Drosophila melanogaster: one gene and its partner. The protein of the gene in region 1 interacts with the protein of each later gene in a pairwise test. Each region holds a gene or a part of one and is shown in the gene's direction. Other genes may lie near its edges.

Region 1 (4,516 bases):
AATATAAAATACAAAATAGAAATAGTGCTCGACTTGTGAGCTTGTCGGTTTTGTATCTTGTATCTTTAAGAACGAACATAAAATTAGATTGATTATTTTTTGTAATATACAAAATAGATATATCTTTTAGTTTATATTATCATTGGTTTCTTCAAATATCCTCTTTAATAAACATAGTATTAGCCCCACCTCTTAAACTCTCACATCTTCATGAAACTGCTACGATCGAGAGGATTTATTCCGGTGATTAAGCGAAAGACCTTTCATATTTCAGCCAATTAGGAAAACGATCGCAACAGCACATCCAACAAGCATCACTAATTGGCAGACGTTTAACACTCCCCCTCAACTCGATGAGTTCCTCAAGATGGGACCATAAAACGATTTCCAAATGAAAACTGGAGGCACTCAGCCAGCTACTGCAGATGGAGATCATCATCATTATTATGATCATCAACGGCAGCAAAAGCAGCACGATATGAAGGGGTTACGGTCGATGGAAGATTGGAAGATGGGTACTATATGGCTAAAGTTCCCCCACGCGCCACCGATGATGCCAATGATTAATTGCCTCGAAAATGTTTGTTTTCATAAACAATTTTTTTAATAGACCCTCGCATATGTCGGCTGTCGGACGAGTCAGAAACCTGGATCTATCGGGGTCGACGAGTGGGCGGGGTCAAAGAGTTAAATCGATTCGAGTGTTGTCTTTGTCGGATCTTAATGCAGATGACTCCGATGACTCCGGAGTTTCAATGCAGCTATTTTCGTGTCCTCCGCCTCTGATCGATGCACTCGTGTTGGGAATGTAAAAAGAGTTGATAAATCAAAATGTTTTGCCGGGGTCACAAGGCAAGGCATTTGAACGCCCCCGTGGCCCTGACAAATGGGCCCATGGTATTTGGGCTTATTGAAGGTGTTAATTGGCAGCAATTAGGATGGACCTTAAGCGGTGGAAATTCATATTTTCCAACGTTTAAATACGTTTAAAATTAGACAAAATGTTGGTGGAGAAAATAGAAAGACAAACCAGAGTAAGAAAAATATTTATCCCCCGGACGAGGGTCGCCAAGAAATTTATGAAATTTCTGTGTGCTCTGGAGCTCGTGGCATTCCCGAAACAGATTTTTTCAATTAAAAATAAAAAATGTTTTCAACAGGTGACAAAACAATTTTACGGCCCCAAGACCGCACGAATGCCATAAAATGGGATTAGCCATCAGGGAGATGACGATCAAAGGAGGGCACTTCTCGTTTCCTTTCCTGATGCCTTGTTTTGAGTTAAAGGGACCATCAAATATTTTATGCATTTTAAATTGCTGCTAAAAAAGCAGAGCTAACGTTCCCTCATCTCTTGCCATTCCAGCCATAAATCTTAGGGCTCGGGAGATACATTTTGTGGGACGACAGGTAGATCCCATTGCTGGCTGGTCCAAGGACATGCCGACACTTGGCCTCAAGTGCATTATGAATATGAAGCAATAATTTATTTATGAACCTCATAACGATGCAATTTATGAGGTCATCTGCCATTGTCTGCTGCTCCTTTGTAGGTCAGTCTTTGGCCTTTGTTCTGCAGATCGGCAAGAAACATAAATAAAACTTGCATCGATAGGAAACTGGTTTGTCAGAGGCAGGGAAAAAGATACAGCTGTGCGGCATGCGGTGTGTACAGGTGGAAGTCGCTAAGGATAACAAGGTTTCTTATCTACCGAAGTGTGGCCCAACATGGGTTTTAGTTTGTAGTGCTAAAGTCCTTTTCGGACAAAATTTATTTAGTAGTTTCCTATCCAACTGGTTTATATTTCTTACAACTTTCACCAAGCACACCGTCTGAATATATTACATTTTTAGAATAAAACAATAATCAGTATTTATTGCGCTACATTTGCTTAAACATTTATTTATTTATCACCAGCATCTGGACATTAATTCCATAAATCAGCCACCCAGACACTGAAATGATTAATTCAATAAGTTTGAATGGCTGTTCTTAACTGCCATTAATAGGCTAATAATCTCGAGATGATGATTAAAAATGTTTATTATGACTGTGTTTGCACAAAATTTGAATTTTATTATGTCTAAGATTATATGAGAAGATCAGAGATAACATTTCAAAATCTCAGCATGATCTCAAATATTCCGTTAAGAGCGAGTATAGAACACAGACTGGTTTTTGCTAATGATATTCATGATGCGACAACGAAATGATTTATTTTGTTTGTTTTCCTGTTATAGAAGATTATAAACGTATAGATTGTACATGACTAAAACAAGTTAGAAGTTTTCAAATCAAGTAAGCATGGAAAACACATTAATGTGTACTTCAGTTGGCTCGAATTAGAAATCCTCATTTTTAGTCCGGCATTCAGTAAGGTAACAGATCGGCCAACAAAATTTTTTCAAAAACCATTTGAAATTTTTTTGAAATTTTTAAATTTTTTAACGATGGAAAACGGTCCGGAATTCAATTGGGAGTACAGCCATGGTGGTCAGGGAAATCCCAACTACTCACAGGTGAGTCTGCCTACGTACTTCGGTATCCGGGTCTAAACCATGGAATGGTTTCAGATGGGAAGGGGTAGTACTCCTCCTGGAGGCGGTGGTCGTCAGTGGCTGCACTCAAGTCAAGCGAACACCCAAAACTATTTGCATGGATCCAGTGGAATGGGATCGCACCAGAATAACGCATCTCCAGGTGATCCATTCGCCTCCTACAACCAAAATATGATGAACATGTACACGAATTTTAAGCCCAGTTACGGTCATTCTCAAGTTGGGTAAGTTTTTTTTTATGGATCTTAAGGCTGATCTAAAACTGTTTTGGGTTCTATTAGCCCGGCTTCGGTACAGGGCATGGGCTCAGAGCCTGGTCTTGAAATGGGTAACAGAATGGGCCATTCCATGCCCGAGTCTATGGGATTCGATGGAGGCATGGGTTCCGGCATGGGCATGAGCAATGGCCTTGGCGCTGGAATGCGAGTTGGTTCCATGCGTGGTGGTCAAAGGTTAGCTGGAGGCTACTCTTCGAATGGTAAGGCATTTTACTTACCTAATGAAGAATCGCATTAAAATCGTTTTTTTGTAGGTCTCAATGATCCGAACCCTTCGCAATCCCACCGTGGTAGTTGGTTCTAGAAGAGCCCATTAGTTCCTAACTAACTTTACGAATCTCATTTGGCACTTGAAAATTAAATATAATAGGCTTCCCATGAAATGTATATTCACAAAGCAAGTAACTCGAAATTTCCCGTTTAAGAATAATAAATTGATCACATAATAAATATTTGGCACATTTATCAATCTGCGATCACGTGTACGTTATCTATAGTTGTGACCGTTTAATTGTAATCGATATTCAAATATGGCCGAGGGTCAAACGGTGCCATTAACGCCGGCTAACCTTCTGCCCTTTTGGGTGCTGTGACCTCTGTCATCGGGGATCTGTGTATGGAAATCACGTAAGGGATGGGGTGGGGGGTGGCTTTAGTTGCGAGGGGTGGCGCAAGGGCATAAATAACAAATGCAATGTATTTGTATGTATAAATTATGATGATACTATTAGTTAGCATGTCATTCGGCAGCGGGTCTATAAATTACGGACAGGCAACAACTGCAGCAGTGCACACCCACCCTCCCATTTTTAGGGGCCAATGTGCATCCGTTTTTTTTTTTTGGGAGTTTTTATTAATAAATTTACATATACATACGATTTCGGGGGGCCCCTAAACATCGCCACTCGCCTGTCGCATGTCCCCAAATGAGGAACTCCTCCCGTTTCGGAAGTCCCGCGCGTGTGTAATGATCTGTCGCCCTGGATCAGGGCAGCGGATTAATGGTAAACCGAACGCATTTTTCATCGAACATTCCGTTGCATTTTTTTTCCTCGATTTTCCACTATGTTTTTAACAAGCGCCCATTTCGGAAGAACTAATTTATATATATTTGTTTCTGTGCGGCGAGAGTTCAGTAAACTATATGGAATCGCTACGGTTATGAGACCGTTCCGTTCGTTGTGCTCCAGATACGGTCGGTTCCGTTCCCCTCCATGAAACCCTTTCGGACGGAGGGATCCCCGGGTGGAATGCCAGTCACGTCTTGGACGGATAGGCCAGAGAATAGACCCAACCGACAATCACTCCGCCGTTTTCTGCCTTCATTTCAATTCAGTTCTTTTTTTTCTTTTTTTTTGTTGTGTGATATATATATGTATATATAACATTAAGTTAGTCCGTGACGGTTTGTCGGGTGGCGAAGGGGTCACAAATAAATTAAAACAATTGAAATTTACATTAACATTTCTCGACTCGGTTGGGTCTTGTCTTAACACCTCTTCTGTCAGCTGTGCTTGAGGGGAAACTAGGAAAAAGTTGAGCATTTTAGACTTTCTACAAGTTTTATATATGGACATACATTTTAAAATATTTCTTAAAATAATAGTATTTTAATATTGAAAAAATCATAACACTCATGTTTAAATCTTCTTATTTGTTTTCACCCTTTTCTAAGTATG
Region 2 (4,704 bases), on another chromosome or scaffold:
CCCCTTCACATCCACATGGGCGCCACGCACGAAGGCTCCCTCCGGATGCACATGGTCGTAGAGGATCACCAGGCCGACCATTACGCGCAGCACCAGCATTTTCGTGTCCTCACGCTCGATCTGTTGCAGGAGTTTTCTAAAAGCAATATTGTCCATCGATTAGAATACTTATTATCATTGATAGTGATTCATTTAAACTCACGGATTTTCCAGCATCCTCAGGCACACCTTGGCCATGGTGCCCAGCGTTTCCGTCGTGTTCTGGACATCATCGGCATTGTCATTGACAAACTTTGAGGTCGCCTCGCTCAGCACCTTGAGCATGGGCGTGGCGTGGGCGTAGAACAGGGACATCCGGTTGGCCAGTTCCGTGCTGACCAGCATATTCTCCGTGGAATCCACACGCTGTCGGCTGACGATGCGTCTGTAGTAGCTAAAATCATTCTGTATGGCGGGGGTTTTCATCTGAAAAATAGAAATATACAATACAACTTAATAAGTTTATCACTTTGAACATGATTTTAGGTATGCAATATGCCTAGCAATGAAATATTATCTGGCATCATTTCGAAACATCCGTCAAAATGAGCAAGCAAAACAGTACGGGATTTAGGAACATATTCAAAAATATTTACAAACGAGACATGAAAGGGTAAATTGAAAATTATTTAGTTAGTTTTCTAATCAACTTTTGGGATGTTGATTCGCACCGCTCGCAGAAACAGACAGAAGACCTTCGTCGTGGAGGATTCCGAATCGCAGAAGCCCGAAAAGAATCCGAGTCCCGAGCGCAAGGAGGATCGCAAGGAGCGCAGGAGGGAGGAGGAAATGGAACGCAAGCGGGAACTGGAGCGGCGAAAGGAACTCGCGAGGGAAAAGGAACGAGAGAAAAAGCAGCATCAGCAGGAGTGGCGCAAGGAACTGGAGAAGGAACGTCAGCGTGAAAAGGAATTGCAGCGTGAACATCTGAGGAAGGAGCCATCCACTTCCTCCAAAAGGGTAAATCCAGAAATCACCAAATTCGACGAGGAATTCGAGCAGGATATTCAGAAGTTGGAGCAAAGCATTTGCCAGCTGGACTTTCGCTCCAAAACGATGGCCACCATGTGGATGGACAAGCTGCGCCAACCACCACAAAATGCAGACGAGGCCAGATCTAGGAACATAATAACATCCCATCTGCTCAAGTGCTGTGGCGATAACATATTCAATAAGGAGCCATTCAATCATCCTCCGCCACCACAAAATTTGACAACCATAAGGGAGATGATGGTGCGTTTAAAGCAAGTCGTTCTTGAAATATTAAGCTATAGTCATATTTAGACAATTTTTTCTTTTCACTGAAATCTAATTATTTTGTATTCTTTTTTCTAGTTCTTAACGCGCGATAGTACGTGCCACGGAATGCCCATTTCCAAGCAGATGGAACCCAACGCCAATCTAACCCAATTATTTAGCGATTCATACGATGGTGGCGAGTTCCTGAGAAAGCTTCCAGTGCCACGTGATGGGGCATTCTTTATCTATTACATGCAACCAAATTTGTAGAAGTGAATTGGATTTTAAAGTAACGCCAGCTAAATTTCAAACATAAGTCTTCAATTTGTATTTTTTATACAAAATGTTAGTAAGAAAACGTTGATACCCTTTACTATAATAAAGCAAGCTCGAATTGTTTCTAATTTTGAAGTTCAGTCATATTTTTAGATAAGATACATATGTAGGGAAACGGACTTGTAAGTTTTTCTTCTAGCAAGCAGCTTTATCAACAAGATCATAAGGTATGCAACTATCGGTTGCTTTCAACACTCGCTCTTGTTAACCTCTAATTACAGTTGACTTGAAAATCTAATTACTAATTACGCGGTACGTGACACCGCAATTTGCCTGCCGCCCGTGTTGCCAATGCTTCCAAATGGTTTTCCACTACGGGCCAGGCCCAAAACAACGATGCCGCACTTAAGCTGTCAGGGCTGCAAAAAAACGTGCGTGAGAAAAAATACAAACATTACAGAAATGCCGCCTGCTAAATTTTTGAGTCAGGTAAAGTGGGGTTTGCTCATCCAATCACCTTGACAGAGGCGCTGCTGCAAACGAACATCATGCACTACTATACATTACTATACTATATATACTATATGGCTTTCCAGAGAGACTGTTGTGAAACCTCATATAAATACGTTATTAGCATAAATCGTTCTGAACAGTCAGAAATGAAGCCGCAAACAGGACGGATCGTGAAGAGCAGCTCGTCGAGCTGGGTGAGTGTTTCACTAGATTTCCATTCGGACACCCGAGATGATTAATCTATTAATGATTATTCCAAGCTATGTGCACTTATGCCCCTGATGATCGATGCAGTTTGTGGGAGAGCTCAGTATGCATCACCTTATGGCAGTGCTTATGCAATTACCACATCCAACTACGCTCAATCCAACTATGCCAATCCAGATGTACAATCGATATGGTCGGGTCCGCCTATCATAGTGAATGATAATCAGTACAGTGCCCAGGAACAGCAGCAGTATCCAAAAAGTAATGGTTATTATGTTGCGGAACCTGCGTATAGACAAGCATATCCAAATTGGAGAAGGGAAGACCCAACACATGCTCCCAATCACAACTATAACAATGTGCCCGGCTACTTTTACTATCAACAACAGGAGACTACGCCATCAACACCTCTGCGCTATCCTCAATCTCAAATTCCACCTCAACTTCAGCCATATCCACAAAGGAATCCGGAATTGGAGACCAGCGATTCGGGTCGCGATGAGGAGCAAGTGGTCCAAATTGGCGGCAGTCGCTCATTGGCCACAAATAACTATCTAAATACGTACAATAATAAGGAGAATTTCTATGAACCCGCTCAGCCCTGGAGGCGTCGTGATTACCAGGCCAAATATGCCCAACATTTTGCCGAATATTTGCGTAAATATCCAAGACGCCTGCAGCCAGTTTACAACACCAACGAGGATTTTGTTGAAAAGTAGGGGAATACTCTGCATTTGACTTTGCATCAAAAAACATATTGAATAAATCCCCTCAAGAGCCATTAGCAATTTTCGTTGAAAGCGTGCCAAGAAAACTATTTCTGTCTGTACTCGGAACAGATCAATTGCATCCGATAAAGATACAGATTGCAGCTGCTGTAGAGTCAACATGCCAACACAGTAAATATTGGTTTATCCCTTTAAAAGGCAAGAATAATAATAATTGTATGTAACAAAACTATGCTTAGTTAGTTCCGTAAGAGATACACAACAATAAAAGTTATTTTCAGAAGATTTTAATTAATTTAAAAAACTTCACTAAAAGGGAAATACCCATTTTTTGAAGCATGTTCTTTGTATTCTGTGGCATGCGTTGAACTTTGAATATCAGTGGTTAACTTACATAAAGGAGCACTAAAGCCAAGTTTATTGTACTCTATACAAGTGCCTTCTCGATGCCCCAAGATTTTTCGCAATAAACGCGACATTAAAACGAAGCAAGTTACAAGCAAAGTCAATAAATTGTACAGCATACTTTGGGGCGCACTGAAAACTGGTGGCAACAAAGGCGCAGAAACAATGCTCCTCCTCTTCGAGAAACGGAAGTGGCAGTTAGTTGGGAAGCACGTTTGGGCTATATAGTATGTACATACATACATATATATATATCGGTGTATACATATATGCAACTTTTTACACGGGAAAATCTGTGAGCGCCCGGCGGCTGACACTTTGAGCACACAATGAACGTGCAGTTTGCAGCGTTTAACATCATCATCATCATCATCGCCATTATCATTACCATTATCGTCGGGAGCACAAAGTTGCAGACACACTAGACATCAGAGACTAGAAACCGACGATGGCGATGACTTCGCCATTCCCTACCTCCACCATTATTTACCCGATTGTCCTAGATCCCAGCTTTCAGCTATACATATAGTGCTCCACAATCGATTTGAATGAAAGTTTCGCCAAACGGAAGCGAACCATGGGAAATGCGCCATTCACAGGGATTTGCCATTAAACAAATCGATTTTATTTGACTCCAGACAATCAACCGGCATATCCTCCAACTGCCGCAGAAACTGATGTGGCTCTGTGTAATGTGTTTTAACCCAGTGCGGGGATACGTTTGTGTTTGCATAGTTCACAGGCCTTTGTTATGGCCAAACACTTCAGGTTAGCCAACATAATTGAGTGTTTGAATTTCATTAAAAACCTATTGATTTTGTGGGCATTTTTTAAAGAGTTTATGCTAGGAAAATAGTGTGGTTATTGTGCGTTAGTTGCAATGAGTAATATATAATCAAACAAGAACGGAAAAGGTAATTTAAAATAAAATTAGGAAAATGAAAAAATACTGAACAACGTTCCTTTTATAATAATCACAAAAAAAAAAAACGCTGTATAGTTTTTACACACGCACTTAATAAACATTTGTTAGCTCTCATAAATAACCTCTTGTTTACTTTTTGAATTGTACCCTTGTAAATCTTTCTCAATCTAATTTTTCCGTCTTGTACATACATTTTTATAATTTTCTTATATAAGTGAGATATTCTACTTTAATGACCCGCACTGTCAGGCCACCGAAGCCGACATAATACACTTTACATCTTCATCCGGCCATCGGTCGTTTGTCGTGGGCCATTTGGCTTGCGTGCGCGTAAGTGCCAGCGATGCTCCACTGTGGCCCCCCAACGAATGT

Evidence for each region. Proteins that work in one complex are often made in the same cells at the same time.
Region 2: the proteins of CG14926 (region 1) and CG14153 interact in a two-hybrid assay, tested with the Drosophila melanogaster proteins (one large-scale study listed by BioGRID).

The regions. Positions count from the first base shown.
Region 1 is NT_033779.5:11,341,104-11,345,619, reverse strand, and holds CG14926 (uncharacterized protein), read left to right. Parts: upstream 1-2,301; 5' UTR 2,302-2,451; coding exon 2,452-2,520; intron 2,521-2,574; coding exon 2,575-2,783; intron 2,784-2,840; coding exon 2,841-3,037; intron 3,038-3,091; coding exon 3,092-3,141; 3' UTR 3,142-3,319; downstream 3,320-4,516.
Region 2 is NT_037436.4:10,641,330-10,646,033, forward strand, and holds CG14153 (uncharacterized protein), read left to right. Parts: upstream 1-2,198; 5' UTR 2,199-2,213; coding exon 2,214-2,261; intron 2,262-2,327; coding exon 2,328-2,993; 3' UTR 2,994-3,286; downstream 3,287-4,704. Other genes in the region: CG32066 (uncharacterized protein), read right to left, coding at 1-136, 203-465; CG14154 (uncharacterized protein), read left to right, coding at 697-1,272, 1,375-1,548.